Linked DNA regions of Notamacropus eugenii. The protein of the gene in region 1 purifies or fractionates together with the protein of each later gene. This does not show direct contact. Links are inferred from orthologs where the notes say so. Each region holds a gene or a part of one and is shown on either strand. Other genes may lie near its edges.

Region 1 (10,678 bases):
ATTAGCTCCTTTCTTTGGATGCTGTTCTGCAGTCTGTCATAGCCTTGGGCATTTTCTGTTCACAAACCAAAGAGCTAGGGACTGCAAGCTCAGTTAATCCAAGTTTTAGTACCAGTTCTGACACTAAGCAAGCTACTGAACCTCTCTGGCCCTTAGGTTCCTTGTTTGTGTAAAAAAAAAAAAAAGAGAGAGAGAGATAAGCTAGAGTCTACATGATCTCAAAGTTTCTGTCCAGCTCTAAAATTCTATTATTATTAACATAATTTCTGATTTCAAAAGTAACAGCATTTATGATCTGTATAAATAACTGCTCAGACATATATATATATTTACTTTTAGAAAATGTCTTGATTATATCATGCTACTGATCCTCACAACAATCCTGTGAGACAAACAAAACAAAGGGTATTGTCTCCATTTTACAAGTAAAGAAACTGAGGTTATACAAGGTTAAGTGACCTGTCCTAGTTCATAGTAAATAAAATTTATTAATTCATTCAATAATGAATTGAATCGAGGCAGCTAGGTGGTGCAGTGGATACAGCACCAGTGCAAGAGTCAGGAGGACCTGAGTTCAAATCTCACCTCAGACACTTGACATTCACTAGTTGGGTGACCTTGGGCAAGTCACTTAACCCCAATTGCCTCATCCTGGGTCATCTCCAGTCATCCTGATGAATATCTGGTCACTGGATTCAGATGGCTCTGGAGGAGAAGTGAGGCTGGTGACCTGCTCAGCCCTCCCTCACTCAAAACAAAGTCAAGTGCAAGTCATGTCATTATTTCTCTGATGGCATAGTCTTCTTCAGCAACAAAGGACGAACACACAAGCATGCATTAAGGCACTGTGCTAGGCTCATGAAGCAATACTGAGAATAAAGTCATCTTAATTTAAGGATGAAGCAAAGGGAATATGAAAGGATGGGAAATTATGGTCAAAGTGAAAAATTTCAGAGCTCTTGATCATGCAAGTGCAACATTCATGGGAGATAAAATCAAGGATATGACCATCCTTTTATCTTTGTATGTGGCTAAGATGGAGTCAACTGTATGCCATGCAAGCTGAGATTTACTGTTAGGCAGGCCAAGGTGTTTGAGGAAGAAACGCCAGTATGGATGCTGATGTCCCCAAGTCCAAAACACAGTTGATGTGGATGTGTAAGCTTTAAGAAAAAAGGGAGAATGACCTGTTGGTCAGCAGATAACTGCCACCAAAGCCAAGGCTATCTCCACTCTGCTCTGCTGCCTAAATATGAAACAGTTTGTATTACTATCCACATACAAAAATTGGCTCTTCTCAAAAAGGGGCCTGCCCAAGTATGCCAAATAACTTAGTTTCAGTATTTATGAAAACTAAGTTTATTTTTTTAAATATATACTTTGAATTGGGAAACAAACAGCAAGAAATTATCTTTTCTGACCAAATAAATTTATTAACTTCATTGCCTAGCTATTACAAGACTTTTTAATGATCAGGTTTTTTAAAAATAATTTTAGTTCAATTCAAACACACTTTTAAAAATTAGTACTTGCCCTCAAGGAGTTTAGTATTCTACTAGAAGCCCAGAATCAAGCTCTCCATACATGGCAGGTCTCATCTGTCATAAACGTACTAATCTACTGTCAAAGGAATTGACTTTTTCTATATAATTCTTACATAGTTTGTGCACTATGGAAGAGATAAGGACATGAAGTAATAGAAAGGGGATATATTTTTGTCAAATACCTATTATTTCCTAAGCACAACAGATGGAAACTATGCAAGACACCTGCAACAATAACAAAAAAGGAAATAGTTCTGTAACAGAGATTCTTAACCATTTTTTATGTCGTGAATACTTTTGGCAGAATACTCCTTCTCATATGCATTTTAAATGCATGAAATAAAATACATAGGATTACAAAAGTGATAAATTATATTGAAACAGTTATCAAAATATATATATTTTTTGAATTCACAGACCCTAGGTTAAGTATCTCAGCTCTAGACATGGATTACTAAAACCCATACATTTCCACTCATGAGATTAGAATATGCATCTAACATAATCTAATGAGGATTTTAAAATATTTATGACATACCCTCCAATTAGTCTTTTTTCCAATCCCAAATTACTTTTTTCAACATAAATAATAAGATTTAGAATAACAAGAGACCTTAGAGATTAACCAGTTCAACTCTTCATTTTACAGATGAGAAATCTGAGACCCAAGAAGGTAAAGCAAATTTTCCAAAATCTACCTTGTGTTGCTAATTACAGAAACAAGTTACATAAAATAGATCCATTCAGTTCTAATCCACACTAAGTTCAAAGCCAAAGGATAATTTTTACATTTACTGTCTCAAATTTCAGAATATTTTTTGTCTAGTTTCCTCACTTTTTAAAAAACATCCCACCACTTCATGTATAATGTGTGTAATTCTTGGTATACTTGCTGAACTCAGGATTCATTTGTGAATGAATAATTTTCAGTTATATTATACCACCTCATCCATTAATAATGATTTAATGAGCTTTCACAGATGTCACTAACATTAGATTCTTCTAAAAGAAGAATGATAAAGAAAAACCTTGGATGAGTTATAGGGAGCCTCCCAAAGAAAGTCCTAACTTAAACTAGACATTTTATAATTTCATTTAAATTTTAAATTCTTAAAACATTTACCACGATGACACCCCTATATTGCCACCCAACCACATTCATGAAAATATTTTTGCTTAAAAGGAATTCTTAAGCATATAAAAAGAAAAAATGTTGAATATTGGTCAATGAAAAATCTTCGCTGACTCCAGTGCTTCAAAAGATACATTCCAGGGCAGAAAACATAGCTGAACCATTCTGCTACACTACCAATTATAAATCCCTAGCCACTGGTTTAATTCTGGTCCATTTATACGTTTATATTAAATTTAGATGTAGTGGGGGTGGCAGCTTGGTGGAATGCACGTTTTAAACATGATAACACCAGTCATCATACTTTCTAAGGCAATGAATGGCTGGAGCTTAATCAAATGCCAATCTCTTTCACCATAAATCATACGCCCACCTACTGGATGGCTTCTTCAAAGCAAAAGCCAACCGAGAAAAATATCCAGCAGCTAACACACTGGAAGTTCATGACCCTACAATAAAGTTTCGGGGAAAAAATGAAGAACTCCAAAATACAGAAACTGTGAAAACTCAACTCACACCAACACGGAGCAGATTTATCCAAAGCAAATCAATACACTTTTCGCAGAACAAACGCCGATTTTCGACGCAGTAGTATAAATACCAATACTATCTACTCGGGGCGTGGGAGCGAATACGAAGGATAGCTGAAGAAGAGGAGAAAAAAGTGAGAAACCGGGATGTCCCTCTCCTCCAATAAATAATTCCCCGGGTGAGAGGCGAAGACCGGGGAAAAGGAAGAGTGGTTGATTGGTGAATGAATGAATGAATTCCAGTACATCTTCTACACCTGCAACTACAAACTTAGACCTCCTCACCGAGAGGAAAAAAGCGTTCGAGGCTCACTAAGACAAAATACAAAATGAGGAAGGAGAGTTAAAAGCAAAAGAAAGGGCACGCGCTGGCCTGAGCCATTCATCCCAACACCCCGACGGCCGCTCTCCCTCCCCCACCCAAGGAGGCAGAGGTCTGGGCTAGGATGCAGAGCTCCGGTCTGAGCCAAAGGCGGCGGCGGCGGCGGCGGCGGCGGCGGCCGCGGGAGGCACGCACCCACCCCTCCCCCCAGCCCCGGGACAGCGACCGGCAGCTGCCGGGAGCCCTCGCCTCGTCCGCCTTCCCCGGGGCCCCAGGGGAGGGAGTGCTGCGGGGGAAGGGGGGAGCGTCCGGTGGGAGGGGGGAGCGTCCCGCGAGAGGGGCGCAGCCGGGGCGCAGCCGGGGCGGGGGGGAAGGAGGAAGAAGAGAGCATCCCGAGGGGGGGCGCCCGACGCGTCCCGCCCCGCCCCCTGCCCCGCCCCCAGGGGGGTCCGGGCAACTTTCCTCCGCGGGAACCCGGCGCCCCCCGAGCCTCCCCAGTCTGGAGGGACCAAGGGGGTGGAGGCGGGACGACGTCGGGGAGTCCGGACTCACTTTTTCAGATGTTTCTCTCTCTTCGGCCTCCGCTTTCGGGCCTGAATGGCCAGCACTGTGGGGGGTGGGGGGGAAGGGAAGAGAGAGAGACACACATTAACGGTTGGGGACGTTGTGGCCTCCGAGGGACGGGGCGGCGGGAAGGGCAGAGAGCTGAGAGGGCGCACACACCTTTCCGGGAGCTCATCCCGCTCAGGGAAGGGGCGGTGACGGGGAGCCGGAGCCGAAGCCGGAGCCGGAGCCGGAGCCGGGGGCTGCAGCCTCCTCCACTCGCTCCGCCAGTCCAGGAGGAGGCGGGAACCGCGCCTGCGCCACCGGCCGCCGCTCCCCGCGGGGGCCCAGCGCAGGACCCGCCCCCAGGGCCCGGCCCCGCCCCAGGCTCCGCCCCCGTCCCGGCCTGGGGGCCCCAGCCGCGGGCGTAGGTCTTGCCAGCTCCTGACACCCTCCCTCTCTATTCCCTCACCCTAGCTTCGGAGCGCCTCAACCTAAGCTGGCACAGAAGCGTCCTCCCCCAACCCCAGCCCCCACCTCGAGCTCTGCGGGACCAGCCCCGCCCCTCTCCCGGCTCTGGCCTCCTCCTCCAATGGCTCAGCCCCGCGGTCCTCCCTCGATCCGTCGCCCCTCCCTTCCCGTCGCTGCCCCCGCCCAGCCCCCATCCTAGGACTCACTCACCTTGGGTCGGGCTCCTGCCCTCGCGATCCCCCCATCCCTCCAAACTCCCGGTGAAGGTCGCTCCCGCATTTCTTCCCTCTTCTCGCTCACCAGAGGAGTCTTGACTTGGTCCAACACCATCTTGTCTCCTCCCGACCTGGCTCCGGTTCAGACGACCTCTTTTCTTTCCACTCAAGCCCCTTTTCCCCTTTTCCTCCATCTTTTCGTCCCTTAGTCCCCAAGTTGGTCCCTCCTTCCACCGTTCTCTTCGGATCGGTTTTGATCCCTTATCCCTAGGACCCAGGACCAGCTTCTCCTGCTCCTTTTCACAGGTATCTAAATTTAAAAAGCGGTGTTACATTTAGAGAACTCGACACAAACGTACCCCCTTGGTATAATATTGGCACAACTTTGATAGCCCTTTCAAGGCCAAGCCAAGTCACTCAGGTGTGAAACAACTTTCTTTTCTAACTCTTCTCAAAGGCTTAACTTGAAATACTGAAAAGACCGAATGTTGTTACTGTGGTTGAAAGAGCACTGGGTTCCGGAATCTGATGGCAATCTACATTCGAATCTAGATTCTTCTCTTGGCCTGGGTGACCTTGGAAAAGTCACTGTGCTCCTCTGGGCCATCATATCTTCACCTGTACAATGAGGATCTTGGACTAGGTGGCTTTTATGACCCATTCTCTGAATCTATGATCCTAAACTCTCCAAGATCCCTTCCATATCTGATTCCTATCACAGTTTAACCCTGTCTTTGTCATGGTATGAATTTAGACAAGGAGATGATCTCTAATGTTTCAGCTTCTAAAAACTATGAACGCAAATAATATATAACCTCACCAAGCATGTTTCCTCATGAGTAAATATGGAAGTCTTGATTTCTTTTGTGAGGAATGAGAGTATCATATCTTGTGAGATTATTGATGTGTGTGTGTATATATATATATAATATATATGCCATATATATTATATATATATATCCTCAGTGTAGGAGTGATCTTCCCAAAATGTTCATTTTTAGTGGAAAGTATTAGTTTAGGAAAAAATAAAGAAAGAAAAAGAAGGCTGATTATCTGTTTGAAATGTCCTTCCAATTGTGCCCCAAAAGATCCCTATTTTAAATAACTTTCAGCATCAATTAACAAGAATGCTTTAATAATATCACAGAATACTATACCAAAAGTTTTCAGAGATGTGCTAAAATCCTTAAATGTAGTCTTTTAAAAAAAAAAAGATTAAATACAGCCCTGGCACATTTATTGAAGACCAGCAGAAGGTACCCTACCTATAAATGAAAAGTTAAAAGAGTCAAAGCAATAAAAGCATCAAGAAAATAAAAAGGTAATGTTATTATCCTGCTCATTCAAATCACAAGATTTAGAACTAGAAGTCAACATTAGTCAAGGCCTACTATGTGGCAAGTACTATACTGAGCATTGGGGTGCAAAGAAAAGCAAAAGATAATTCCCGCTTTCCAGGAATTCACAGTGATCATTATACTCCAATCTCATACAGATGAATGAATAAAGCATTTTAAGTTGTTTATTTTGTTGCTTATTGTGTTCTTTTTTCAGTTATGTCTGACTATTTGTGACCCTATTTGGAGTTTTCTTGGCAGAGATATTGGAGTGGTTTCCCATGCCCTTCTCCAGCTCTTATTACAGATGAGGACACTGAGGCCAATCAGGGGTTAAGTGACTTGCTATGGGTCACACCATTACTAAGTGTCTGAGGGCTGATTTGAACTCAGGAAGCTGTATCTTCCTGACTCCAGGTTCTGTATCCACCATGTGACAATCACCTTGCTTACCTCTTTAGATAGAAGTAGAAAAAGTTAATAGCCCTTACTCTCTCAAGGATTTCATACTATATTTGGCAAAGACATCACGTTCAGTTCTAAGTAGGGAAAGACAATACAGTGTGGACAGGAAGGCTCTGAAGATGTAAGGGTACAGTTTTAGGGCAGATGGTAAGATCCAGGAGTCCTTAGATAGAGAAAAACAGAAAATGAAACCAAGGCCCAGGGAAAGGCTTGCTTGAGATCACACAAGTAGTGAAGTAGCAGAATTAGTATTCAAGCCCAGCATCTTTGACACTAAATCCAGTTTACTAAGTTGCCTTCATAATTGGCTACAATGAAGTTTTCAAAAGTACATCAGCTATTTCATTGTCAGAGAAGTTTTATAAATGTATCCTTACCTCAAGGTTGACTAGCCATAACATTTATGAAAACATGTAATGTTCTAAAGGATACTATATAGCCTAAATGTATCTTTTGGATGTAAAACTTAAATGTGTTTGTTCTTGTGACCAAAATGTGAGTACATTTCTATAAATTAAGGGAGGATAACACTTGTGGCCCAGTATTAATAATGCAATATTTGCAAAGTGCCTTGAATTTCTTTAATAAAAATATAACTTCATCATCATCAAACAGCATTTATTAAATACTTAACCATGATACTTGTCTTATTGCTATATAAATTAAGAGAGTCAGAATTTGGGGGCTAGAAGAGACACAGAGAACTACCAAAATATGAATAATAATGATACCAGGTCATATTTTATAGCATTTTATGGTTTCCAAAGTATTCTCCTTACAACAGCCCTGTGAGAATGGTAATATAATCCCCATTTTACAGATAAGTATCCTGAGGCTTAAAAAACTTAAGTGACATCTAAGGCAGCTAACTGGTAGAGTACTGGGTCTTAAATCAAGAAGATCTGAGTTCAGATCCAGCCTCAGATATTTACTAGATGTATAACCCTAGGCAAGTCACTTAACCTTTGACTGTTTCAGTTTTCTCAACTATAATATAAGGATAATAATGCCATCTACTTCACAGGGTTTTTATGAAGATCAAGAGAAATTATCTTTGTAAAGCATTTAGCATAGTGTCTAGCATATGGTAGACACCTGTCAACCAGACTAGAACCAGTTTCTAATCTTCTTGTTCCCTTTCCTTTCCCTGAAAAGTTTAATGGAACTGGGTTTCAAATTCAGATCTAGATTGAGTCCAAATCTAGTACTTTTTCTTTTTTTTTTTATTTTACTATAGTAACTCTCTCACTAATCTGTACAGTTTAGAAATTTACTCCCTATAAAGCTAATTCTTATCTTTACAAATGACAAAGTTGTTTGAAAGAAGACTTCAGGGAACACACAAGTGAAAAGCAATATAGTAAAAAAAAAAAAAAAAAGCATACATTTCCTTTATTTTAAAATGAAATAAAAGGTTCTAGTGCCATATGATAAAACATATCAAGGATGATAAACAGTTGGATAGGCAAACCATAGAGCTCATCTATTAGTACATATATCCTGGAAAGATACTACCAATGAACAATGAGTTAGGTCCACAACTGAACAGGAGGAGGAAGGAGAGCTGGAAGGCCTGTGGAAAACTGCACAGTTCATTTAGTGATCCCAAGCTTCTCCACAAAACAAAAGCCCATCTTTCTGACATCAATAGTTTCCCGGTAATGTTGCATGCCTTTGAGTAATGAAACACTATGGTCTCCAAACAACTGAAATTAAGGATTCCCAAAGAATAAAGGAAAGATGCATGGTTTGTGGCTGAAATATAAGTGGCAATACATTACAAGGGAGGACTTACACGGTAGAAACTGTATAACAAATGTCATCAGAGAAATTTATCACTGGAAAAAGAAGATGGGCCAGTCACACAGCAAAAGCAAAGGAAAACTGAAGGATAGCACATATGTTTCAATGTCACAAACTTGCAAGAAAGTGCCTACTACAGCAGCACATATGCTAAAATTGGAATAATAAAGAAATTAGTATGACTCATGTTCAAGGTTGACATACAAATTCATGAAGCAGTCTTTAATGTATTTTGTTTATTTTTGCAGGGGATGGGAAGAATGCTTGTTTTTTTATTTGACAATACTTATTTGTTACAAAGTGAAGGCATTTATTTTGGGAAGAGGAAAGTCTTAGGGAGGGAGTTGGAGTAGTGATAGTAATGACAAAAAATGAAGAAAAGTGTAAATTAAACATTAAAACACAGTCAAAGAGCAGAAGGTGGCACAGAAAACAGGACAGTGTTGATACTTCTCTATTAAACTTAACATACACTTGTAAAAAACAGTATATAATAGATATTAAGGTGAAGATTTCATATGCACATTTTTTCTACTTTTCTTTATAATCAGAAACTTTTATGTTTGTTGGTATTTGTCAAATTTGGAATAAAAAATATTTCAAAGAAAGTGTGAGGAATACCACCAGCATATTGGGAGTACCTTTTATGGTGGATTTATTGAAGGTTGTTAACAACTAGACTAGGATAGACAATCATGAACACTTTGCGGTCCTTGATGAGAGTACCCACATTGACATCACAGATTCCATTAGAGCATAATCAGGGATCACAGAATGAAAGATTCAGAGCTCAAAGAGACCTTAGATATCATCTAGTTCAATGCACTCATTTTACAGGGGAAGAAACTGAGGTCTAAGGAGCTGAAGTTCACTGAGTCATTGCAAAGTTTAACCTAAATTCCAGAACACTAATGATGAAACATGCTACCCACATACTTCATAGTGATGTGAAAGATTCAGAGTATAGAATGAGACAAATATACATATATGTGTGCATGCTTACATATATACATGTTCTTTTTCTTTTGGACATGGCAAAGAAAGGATTTTGTTTTGTTTGACTATACATGTTTGTTACAAGGAGGGGAAGATAAGGGTCATTCAGCCTTAGTTAGCATACCTCCAATGAGGGGGAACTCACTATCTTCAAAAACTGTTTATTTCAAGATACCTATGTATACGGTATACTGAAGAGAAAGAAGTATTAATTTTTTAACTTCTGCATTATGCTATCTAAATAATACTAGTGGTTGGAAAAGAAAACATTTGGAGACCATGCCACATAAAAACCACTTGGAAAAATTTATAATATCTAGACTACAGAGAGAAGACTGTGATCCTAGGATTTAAGGATGACATTATCTTATCCTTAAATGTTTAAAGAGTTGTCAAATAGGAGAAATACAAGAACTATTCTGTTTTGTCTAAGAAGCCAAAACTCAGACCAGTGGATGGTAGAGAGAAATTCTAACTCAATATAGGAAAGAACTTCCTAACATAGTCAGATCTTCTCAATTATTAACAAAGCCTTTCCTTGATTCTTCTAAACCCCAATAGCTATTGTCCTATTTCTTTATTCTCCTGAACTAATACTTTTCTTGGGAAAAAACTGTCTATAGTTGATCTTTCCAATTGAAAAAGAATCATTCCATTACCTCACTACCCAATCTATTCTGAACCAGGTTTTTGCCTTCTCCAACAGACTGAAACTATGTTTTCTAAAAGCAACAACAGAATGAAAACTGAACATTGTAATCACAATGACCCTGGGAGCTTGACCCTGGGCAAGAGTTGAAGAAATGTGCCTCCCTCCCTTCACTGGAGAGGTGGCAGGTCATCCATGTTGAACATTGCACATAATGTTGGGGTCAGCTGATGTGCTAGATAATTTTGCTGAACCGTTGGTTCCCCCTTTCTCTAAAGAAAGGAAAGACATTCAGGAATGGATGTGATATAAATAAATATATATGTGAACATTTTGCATGTGAGTTTTTGCATATATTTTTATATATGCCTGCCTTCTTCTTCAATAGAATGTAAACATAAAAGTAGCGTCTGCTTCATTTGGTCTTTGTATCCCTCACACGATGTCTGGAACATAACAAATGATTAAGTGATTGTAAAATGGATTGTTGGTTATTTATTGTAAAAAAAAAAAAGACAACAATAAAAATCAGATATTTTAAAAACCTACTATCTCTAAAGTTGCCAGTGATTTCCTAATTGCCAAATCCAATTACCTTTATTCAGTCTTCATCCTTCTTGCCTTCCCCAAATTCTTGTAATTTTTTTTTGACAAAGCTAATCCTTTCCCTC
Region 2 (10,689 bases), on another chromosome or scaffold:
TTAATGCACCTTTTTCCCTACTTACCCTTTAAAAGATATAAAGAGAAAATATTAATACTAAGAAAAAGATTATCCATGTAGTGTTAGCTTTATTTCCTCTTAACAATGCACAGAAATTACTTGTCTGTTATGTCTATGTATACATATATATACGAAGTCAGATCATCAACAATAAAGCCTGAGATGATTCAAAAATTAATACCAAGAAAAGTAAAGTATTCAACATCCCACATGAACTAAGACCTTAATAAAACTATACTCTTCAATACCAAAAAGACCAAGAACACCAAATAACACAAAATTAAAATAAAATTACGTTCATCCTAAAATCTCTATTTCTTTTGCCTTATGGATTAAAAACACAAAAAACACTGAATCAAATGACACAGGTATTTTTTTTGAGGTATTCTTATATTCCAGTTCCTCAAGTGTTAAAATAAACATTCTAAAATTTACAAGTAATTTTTCAAAGGAAAATATCCCAAAAATGGCATTCAGAGGGAGAAACCTTCGTAATCTTTAACGTTGAGTTCAATAAAATTCTCACTCAACTAAGTGCGAAGAGTAAGTAATTTTATTTTATTTATAAGCAAATGGGTTATACTAATTTACACTGACACAGACACCTGCAAGCTCTTATCAAAATGTACAGGTTAGAAAAGAACGCAGAGAAAGAACTGTAACAGAAGTCAGACTGTGCTAAGCCATATTCATAATTTTTTTTAATTTCAAGTACAATTAAGATTTGAATAATTTAGATGTACAATTATTTTACTTTAATTCATGTACGTTATTATCTCTATCCCAAATCCTTATTATCTGTTACTTTATCCTTAAAAAGATAATTTTTCAAAATGGCTTAGATTCTTAAAAAGATTCATGATTTAAATGTTTTAATTAATATACATTCTAAACATAATTCAGTATGGGTCAGTCATCAGATTGATACAAGATAGGTGTTCAGTAGTGAGGTTGATTTTATGCTTCCCTGACTACCTCTGAATAAGAAGCAACTAGTATTATCTGTTATATTACATTTTTAGTAACACAAAATGGAAATAACCTACCTTTCATCTTTTCTCTTCTCTTTGCCTCCCCCGGTCAGAACACAGTTAAGATGATAATGTTCAAATTATTTCAACCTACCTGTACCACAGATTTTTTATCTCTAAAATGAGAGAATTTGACTATAGGATTCTAGCTATAAATTCTAGCATCCTAGTATTAACTGGTGTCATCAACGTACACTAGTATGAAATTCAGAATCATGACACTATGATACTACAAGACCTCAAATAAGAAAAAGTTCAGCTTCAATAGGTATAAATGAAAACATACCACCTTTTTAGATTTTTCTGTAAAGTCTGAAGACTTTTAAAAATAGATCTATCTGTAATTATTCAGAAAATTCAATTAATCTAAGAAATCAGGCTATAGCAAAAGTTTCCTGTATTGTGAAATATGCTCAAAGATACTGCTTTCTAAAGACCTTTGAAGCTTCCCTTGAGATTTCTAGGGAAGGATAATCCTCAACACAAATAATCCCTTTTACTTTACCTGGTTTATATCGTAATTCTGTGTCTAGGACCCCAGACAGCACTTCTTCTATCTTCTGCACTATTTCTTCATTTGGTAGGCTCCTTGCACAGGCAGCTGCATCACCTGACTGGTTTCCTTCAACAGGTGGGTTTGTTTCACCATTCAGCTGGCCTTCAACCCTGCCACTGATTTAAAAATAAAACAGCAAAATTCATTAACATCATGGATATCAATATACAATAAATCAGCACAAAATAACAGCATATGAACAATTTGCTTAATTTTAGTGACTTTATTATCACGTCTGAATATGTAAGATACACTGCCATCTCTTATAGTTTTTGTAAACATATTCTTAAACCATAATAACTCTTTCTCAAATTTTATTAACTTCTAATCTACTTCCAACTAATTTATATTCTAATTTTATAGTATCACATTACCACCATTTTACAACTCTGCAAATCAAGTAAAAACTTCCAAAATAAAAGTTTTCTAAGCTCATCTGTTTCAATACGCTCAGAAATCTAAGTTGAGGCTTTTGGTTACTTATACTTGGCAAAAAGAAAAAAAACTCATGAAAATACAAAAAAAAAAAACAACACATGCATGGCCTAATATACACTAGGAGAATATGGGCATAATGAAGAAAAAAATAGTATTTTTAGCCAATCTGCTTACCATTACTGACCATCAGCATAAGAAAGACACTCAAATACATACAAGGTAAAAATAAATCACATGCTGTCTTTAAATTACATAAAACTTCCATAAATGTATAGAAAAACGTTTAGGGAAATCTCTTATATACAAAAACGGCTCAGGATATTTAAAATAAACCAATTAACTAATGAGAATTCATTATGCTTTAACCAATACCACTGTACACATAAAAAAAGCACTGGAGTTCTCACTTTCAGAATACAATTAAAATATTATCTGCAATCTTCACCTGTTTAAATCTGAACAACTCATTAAGCTAGTTATGGTTGTGTTCATTTGTCTGTAAAAGACTAAAGAATGAACCTATGTTTAAGTTCTTCCAATTCACATTTTAAAGCATTTTAAATATTTACTACAATTCTGATTGTGTTCCTTTCAAACAAATTAAGTAGGTCTGATCTGTCAGATCAAATTACCATATGCCCAAAAAAAGTAAATCTCAAAAAAAATTCAATTACAATGGGAAATATAACCAAGGAAGCACAATGAAACTACTAATACAACTAATTTTGGCCAATTAAACAATGAAGTTAGTAGCACACAATCCAAAATCTATTCATATTTGGTTCAGAATTACATTAAGACAAGGAGAGACAAAAAACATTGTAAGAGAGCAAGAGGTATGAAAGAGGATAACTAATGTTCATATTTATGCTTTGCTTGGACTGATATTAAAATTGGCTTAGATTTCCTCTAAGCACATCTTTAACGCTGAAAATGTTGAGTGGTCCAGAAATTTGCTATGCATAATCGACAAAATGGACTGTAATCAAACGAAATAGAACTACACTACACAAATTAAAAACTTATGCAATAAAAGTCCCAGGAATAAACCTCATCTGAAAATTCTGTTCACTCATATGACCAATACCTTGGCATCACCACCCCTTTCCAGCCCCCCAACACAATCCAGCCTACCGTTCAGTAAATGAGAATTAAGAACTTAATTTGGCTATTTAACTTACTCTTGGAGATTCAGTTCACACTACATTGTGACCAACAAACAGACAGGATCAAGATGCTGGAGTTTAAAGACAGTGAATAGCCACGGGGAGAAAGTATAAGAGAAAGTGTAACCCATATTTTAAGCTTCAGGGATTCTTGTTCCTATCTTCTTACTAAAAAGGACCAAATAAGGTGGACAAGGCACAAACACTAACGGAAAACCAAGCAAAACCAGTACCTCCTCGCTATTTTCCTTTCTCTCTAAACAGATTTTTATTTTTTTTTTTTGCAGATTTCCTTTCCCCACATTTTTGGTGGGGAAAATGGGAGCATAAAGAACAATAGCGGTTCGTTAATCAAGTCAACTTTCCTTGTTATTTGAAGCCAGGAAAGGAAAAAAACTGAAATTCAAAAGATTCCCCCTGTACTCCCAACCTCCAAACACAGACACAGGCACACACACACGCGCGCGCGCGCGCTCACAATTTCAACCATCTCCCCCTTCAAACCAACAACAAACTGAACAAATTTTAACTGCTTCCAACTCTTTTAAAAACAGGTGGAAAGAGCAAAGAGAAAACCAAAAGCCTCGATAATCCACAAACTAGAATAATCTAAAATTAGCAAGAACGAAATTTTAGGATTATACTATAAAAACGCCGTTATACACCCTTTCCGAGGCTGGGGACAGAATGGTGAAATCTCCGGAGATGAAGGCGGTGAGGGGGGAGGGGGCGGGGGAGGGGAAACGAGGAGGAGGAGGAGGAAGAAGAGGAGGATCGGAGGAGGAACCTAGGCCCACCCCAAGGTGGACAACGGGGCCTGGAAGACGGAAGGGAGGTTGGTTACTCGGAAGAGAAAGGGAAGTCTACGAAAGCAGCCCGTAGGCTGGGGGTTGGGGGGGGCGGGGGGAGGAGAGCGCCACGGAGCGAGAGACGAAAGCCCTCGCGCGCGAGGGGAGAGAGGAAGGAAGGTAGGCGGTGGGGGAGGGGGCGGGGGCCAGGAAATAGATCCCAGGCCCGGGCGAGGCTCCTGCAGGGCCTAGGCCAAAGGACGATGGCGGCTTCGGGGATACCGCGGTGGAACACTGTATCGGTACCAGCGGTCTGCTAAAGGCAGATGCGCCTGGGAACACGTTACCTGGAAAGCTCTTGCTGAATTTCCCGGAATTTACTGACCACGAAGGACCTGAAGATCTGCTCGATGTTTGTCGCCATGGCGGCCGCTCCGTTCTCTCAACTCCTCCTCCCAAGACCTCCAGGCTCCCAGCATGCGTCGGGAGTAGGCGCTACGGCCGGTTCCTTATCTCTCTTCCCTCATTGGCTCCCGCTGGCGCTCCGGGGAAGGCACGCTCTGCCACTGAACCAATCAGCGAACACGCATTCGTTTTCTCGGTCCGTTCTTGCGAGACGAGGGCGGAGCCGTTGACGTAAGCTCCAAGCTCGGGGCTGCGGCGGCCATGTTAGTGCCTGACGCAGGCGCCATTACAGGGCCAGTGTCTGCGGGTGAATCCCGCCAACGTGAGGGGCTTAGTCGTTCGCGTTCGGGGTGGGAGGTGGGCTTGTACTTTTGTGATTTGGGTTGATTTAAGGGCATAACTATCCAGATGGGAGACTGGCGGCGAGGTGAGAACTAGTCAGTGTTCCCGCGGAGCCCGCGCACGCCTGAGGGGGGCGCCAGGTCCGGCTTTATTGCCGTCTCGGGGAGGACCCGCCTCTTCGTCGCCTTCCTCCCAATGCTTGTGCAGAGTCCTGTGACCCTGGAAAATACAGCCTTTGCTTCCCTCCGCCCCCGGCCCCTCCCCCGCCCCTCCCGTCTGAATCCGCCTCGGTTTCTGAGCCCCGGGCTGCGTGGTCCCTGTGGCTGCTCCGGGAGCCTACGAGCCCCAGCGTGCAGGCGGTGTTCCGCGCTCCTCTCGCGAAACAGCCCGCCGGCCCCCCGCCGTGAGAGCCCTTAGTCCTCCTTAAACTATTCACGGGTGCCCGGCGGCCTCAGAGGTACCAGAGTGGGGGGGAGGGGGGGGTCGTGACAAAGCTGTCGTTACGTGACATGTGTGAACACGGTTCCCCGGGTCCGGGTCGAACCCACGGGGCCCAGGAGGGGCATCACGCTCCCGGGCGGTCGAGGAGCAGGCCGCCGCCCAGGGCCCGCGGGCCTGGGGGGAGGTGGTTGGGTGGCTGGGGGTGTCGCCGCTGAGGTGCCCGGGTACGAATTTAGGAACGTAAATAAGCGCCAAAGGTGGGAAGGCTTGTGGAACGCGGGAGTGTCCTTCCCTCCCGGACGGACGGACGGACGCACGCGGGGCCGAGGAGCCTTTGGGCGTCCACGTGTGCAGAGCGCTCGCGGCTTGTCGGCGGGAGGAGAGGGAGAGCCCAGGCTTTGTCATTCATCCCGGGTGGGACGGCTGCCTTCTCCTTCCGCGGCCTGGCCACGTGCGTGTCCTCCCGCTGTCACTGGTGGAGCATCTTTCTGCAGCCTGCTTACGGCAGAATTCCTGTCGTTTATTTAACTTAAATTTAATTATTTTAGGAGACGGGTCCGAGTGCTTTTCCCGTAGCTGGTCTCCTTTTTTCCTTGATATGTATTTCAAATAGGATTTCCTTAGTTTTTTCATCCTTCAGGGTTTACCCTGTGCTTTCCCCCACACTTTAACTGTGAGCGGTGCTTTTCTTGAAATGAACTTGGCGTTGGAAGAATTGGCCTTTTTCACCCGTGGGCTTGGCCACGTGCTCTTGTTTTCCAGGCTTGTTTTCCTAATCTTACCACTTGCTTTTTAACGTGGTTTTAATTAAGTTCCTGCTCATGGTTTCCAGTTTCTGATAAGCTACATTTTTCCATCCAAGCAAATGATTTTTTCTTCAGTTTTTCAAAAATTTAAGAATTGAAGAGTTCCTTCATTCAGTTTGGTTTTTCCATGTGGTCCAAAATGTTTTCAGTAGGTGCTTTTCTTCCTACAAAATTGGGAATTTTGAAAGTAGCTTTTATTTCTGCTTTGTACTGTTTACTTATTCAATGGACCGCAAGTCATCCTCATATAAGCTGAACAATGCTGTATCCTGTCTAAGAAAAGAAATAGATATACTTGTTTTAAGGATGAGAGAACTGAGAGTTACCTAGGTTTAGATGTCCAGAAAAGTTCTGCCCAAGGTCCTAAGTGTCAGAGGTTGAATTTGAGCTCAGGTCTTCCTGACCCCTGACTTCCAGAGTTCTTGTCTGCCTGGCCCTGGGTACCAGGTAGTTGCCAAGTCCTATCAGCTCTACCCTAGCACCTCTTCATTCCTGCCTCAGCTACACTACTTCAGGTCCTTACCAGAAGTTGCTTAGACCGTTGCAGGTAGTCTCCTGATGGGTCTCTTTACATCCAACATTCCCAATTTCTACTCTGTCCTCTGGCAGATTGATCTTCCTAAAGCCTAGGTTTGCCTTGTCATTCCTCTGCCCTAGAATCTTTACTGGGGCCTAGATAGCCAAATCCTGCCAGCCCCTGAGCTAAGGATGGTTTTTAACTTCTTAAATACATTCAGACTTTTATTTTAAAATGTAAACACTATTCTTAGTCCCCGGAAAGGAATCATCTTTTGCCTGTAAGATAAAATACAAATTTCTCCGTTTGACCCTCAAAGCCCTTCATAAACTGACCCCAGTTTATCTTTCCAGCCCAATTAAATATTATTACTCTTCATACGCTTCAGTCACATCAGCCTCTGTTGTTTCCTGCATACACGTATTCTGTCTTCTCTTTCCTTCCTGTCCTCATGTCTTAGCACAGGCTCTACCTCATATCTGGTGTATCCTCCCTCTTTACCTCTACTTTGTGTACTACAGCCTTCTAGAAGTCTTTTCTGATTTTCCAAATTGTTGGATTCCCCTCATCCTGAAGTGATTTTGTATGACTTTTTTATACATGCTCCATTTTTCTATGAACATTTTATATTCCCTCCTTCCCCTGAGACAGCTAGAGATAGGTGGCAAAGTGGGTGGAGCACTATGCCTGGAGTCAGGAAAACCTGAGTTCAGATATAACTGGACACTAGCCAGCTGTACAACCTAGGGGAAATCATTTAAACTGGACCTCAGTTTCCTCATCTGTAAAATGGGTATATAATAGCAGTCCCTGCCTTTGTAAAGTACTTAGCACAGTTCTATGTAATAATAGGCCTTCAGATACTTGATTGTCATATTTTATTCAGTTTCATTCAGTGTTTTAATAGTGTGTGCTATGTGTCACTGAGAATACAAAGAAAAAAATGAAATATCCCTGTCTTCAAAGAAGAAGAGAGGAAAGCTAGTTTGATTTTGAACTTGATGATCAAAAGTGACAAGTTTCCAGAAGCCGCCTAAGGGAACCTGTCCAGCAGGCGATTAGAAATATGACCAGTCTCACATTTCCAAATGCATGTGAGGCAGATCTACATGGATACCTGATCGGCACCTCAAACTCAACATATCTAAAACTGAGCTCATTCCTCCTTCACACAAATCCCCCCCAAAATTGCCCCTCCTAGCTAACCTTGTTTGTGCCATTCATTATCTGAAATTCTCTTAGTTATCGAAAAACTCCACTGTCCTATTTTGCTCTTTTCCAATTAGTTGCAAAGTCCTGTCTATACTGTCTCCAAAAATAACCTCCTGATTGCATCTTTTCTTCCTATCCACTCTACTGCATCCTAACCTTTAAATTCTTGTTACCATATATGACACCAAAAAATTTCTTAACCTGTTATTTTAAACCAACCCTTCATAATGCTGTGGCAGTGATTATCCTGGTGTACAAGTCTAACCAGGTCGCACTCCACTGCTCAGAAAATCTCAGTCATTCCCCATTGCCTGCAGGATAAAATACTATATTCTTGCCATCCTATTCAGTGTCCTCCTCCAGTCAGCTTCCAGTCCTACCTCTCAGTTTGTGGAAATCCTTGCCTTCAAGGCCTAATTCATATACTACTTATTTCTCGAGGTCTGCCCGGATTACTTCCAGCCAGAGAAAATAGCATTCTCTGACCTTTCCTGTGTGTTTTTCTCATTCTGATCATATTTGTCCTCATGTCTCCTTGCCCTACTATATTTCCCTTGAGGGCAGGACCTGAAATTCTTAACAGAACCTAACACAATACCTTTCACACAGTAGTGGCTTAAGTATTGAACCATTATGGAAGCAAGATTGAGACTGGAAGGGCTGACTGGGGAATAAGTTGTGTAGAGATGATCGTATGGAGTAGATGAATGGAGAGGGAGTGAAAACGAAAAATAAAGAGCCAAATGATACAAGCTCAGGGAGTGCTACCATTTAAAAGGAAGGGTCAGAAAAGCAGAATAATTAAGCTACTGCTACTTTAAAAAAAAAAAAGCCAGAAGCCAAAGAAAAGGTCTCAAGTATTGCCCAAAACGTAAGGAAAACAATAAGGAATGAGAAAATGAATGGATTTGAGTTGTTTTTTAAAATTTTAACTGAACTTGATTCTCCTGGCACTGTTTATCAATTTCTTTTCTTTTTTTTTTTTTTAAATCCCTACTCTGCAGACAAATTAATGGCAGTCCGAGTGCTTATAATTGGCAATGGGGGAAGGGAACACACACTGGCTTGGAAACTTGCTCAGTCTCAGCATGTCAGCCAGGTGATAGTTGCCCCAGGAAATGCAGGAACAGCCAACAATGGGAAAATATCAAATTCAGGTAAAGGCATTTTGATTTATAGAATGTATGATCTAAAAAGGACCTTAGTGATCATCTAACTCAACTCTATCAATTTACAGATAAGCAAACTAAATGTTAAGTAACCAGTCTAGTTATTTTATGTTGAGTATCAGTAGCATCTGATTTTTTTTTTTTGTTTTATTTGTTTTGGTTATTAGGGGAAAAAAAATCCTCTCTCCCCTCTCCATAATTGGAAAGTGTGAATCAATTTGCCAGAAGTGTAAGATGTGCTGTTCTGGTTATAGTTCTATCTTACAGAATTACTTTATGCCAACATCTTATTAAAAGTGCTTCATAATGATATGGATAATTACATGGTTCCTTAAGGTTTGTATAGAACTTTATATACATTATCTCATTTGGTTTTTACAGTAACCTTGTGAGGTAGATGCTTCTAATTTCCCCATTTTGCACATGAGGAAATTAAGGCTGAAAGTAACTTGCCAGAGACACAATTAGTGTCTGAGGTACAATCTGAATCCAAGTCTTCCCCCTTCCAATCTCATCACTCTCTGTTATCAGAATGGAATAGTCTGATAGCATTCTATAACAACCAAAAGTTTTGTCAAACCATTCTACATATCTTACATAGTTTGAATTAGTCGAATTAGCAGTAATATTAATAGTTAACATAGAGCTATGGTTTGCAAAGTGCTTTATGGAAATTGTCTCTTGGGAATATGGGTAGGAAGCATTATTCTGGGCTTATGTTTTGAAGTGGATTGTGAATGTTCAGCATGTAAAAGGAGATTGTCTTTTGAACGAACTTAAAATAGCAAAGGTATTTAAAATAGAATCCTGTTGATATACGTAAAGGATACATGTTGGTTAATGGAAGTTCTGTTTGCAAAAAACATTTTTAAAGCAAATATATATTTGAAAATAATATATTTGTGCACAGGGATATTGTACATAAATGCAATGCTCAGCAGCTTCAAAAAACAGTATCCTAGAAACTGGCTATTATATCTTTCTACTATGACTATTTTTCCAACATTTAAGAGATTGTTAAAATTTAACAATGGTAGTATTTGGACTTGGCTATGAAATACTGTTTACAGTACAAACACTAAAATTCTTATATTTGTGAAAGAGAAACTAACCTCATTATATAGTAGTTCATAAAGGAATTTACAGAGCTTTGGTCAGATTATTAGGACGTACACATAGCAACTGAAAATGAACTAGTTCTCTGGCATGATTCATTAAAAAATTTCTCAATTAAACTCAGTTACATAGTACCTATCCCCCAAAAAATTAGAAGTTGGCAATTATACCTAAGTAGATGATAGACAGCCTTACAATTAGATGTGAAATTTGTTGTTGTTTTATCTTTACAGCTGTATCAGTCAATGATCATACCGCCCTCACTCAGTTCTGCAAAGATCAGAAAATTGAACTTGTAGTTGTGGGACCAGAGGCTCCTCTTGCTGCTGGTAAAGTTGGAAAAATTCCAGTTTGCTTCTGTAAGATTGGCTTTATGGAAGAGAGCATTTAATCATAGAATTTCCGGGTTAAATTCCACGTCAGAGATAAACTAACAGACCTTTATTTATACAAAAGAATTTCTTTAAAATGTGCTATTGAATAGATTTTTAAAATTTAACCTCAGGTCCTGAATTGATTTTCTGGACTTCAACTGGTAACTACCTAGGAGTGTTTTGTTTTGTTTTTAAAGATTTAAATTGAAACAACAAAAAGTGCTCAATAGTGTTAGTTTCTGTCATTTTTCAATATGCAGACTGTTTAGTTGGCCTTTGGAATACCAAAAAAAAAAAAAAACTTGGT

Evidence for each region.
Region 2: the proteins of SRPK2 (region 1) and SON purify together in Homo sapiens (affinity purification with mass spectrometry; 4 studies listed by BioGRID and IntAct, with this or other methods). This does not show direct contact. The link is inferred for Notamacropus eugenii from reciprocal best matches to the Homo sapiens genes SRPK2 and SON.

The regions. Positions count from the first base shown.
Region 1 is NC_092874.1:150,432,851-150,443,528, reverse strand, and holds the start of SRPK2 (SRSF protein kinase 2), read right to left. Parts: upstream 5,236-10,678; 5' UTR 4,952-5,235; coding exon 4,843-4,951; intron 4,481-4,842; exon of another isoform or gene 4,268-4,480; coding exon of another isoform or gene 4,252-4,267; intron 4,136-4,251; coding exon 4,081-4,135; intron 1-4,080. UniProt on the Homo sapiens protein: Serine/arginine-rich protein-specific kinase which specifically phosphorylates its substrates at serine residues located in regions rich in arginine/serine dipeptides, known as RS domains and is involved in the phosphorylation of SR splicing factors and the regulation of splicing.
Region 2 is NC_092876.1:425,725,518-425,736,206, forward strand, and holds the start of SON (protein SON), read right to left. Parts: upstream 4,485-10,689; 5' UTR 4,425-4,484; coding exon 4,348-4,424; intron 4,048-4,347; exon of another isoform or gene 4,026-4,047; intron 1,725-4,025; coding exon 1,558-1,724; intron 1-1,557. Other genes in the region: GART (trifunctional purine biosynthetic protein adenosine-3), read left to right, coding at 4,814-4,832, 8,728-8,880, 10,242-10,337. UniProt on the Homo sapiens protein: RNA-binding protein that acts as a mRNA splicing cofactor by promoting efficient splicing of transcripts that possess weak splice sites.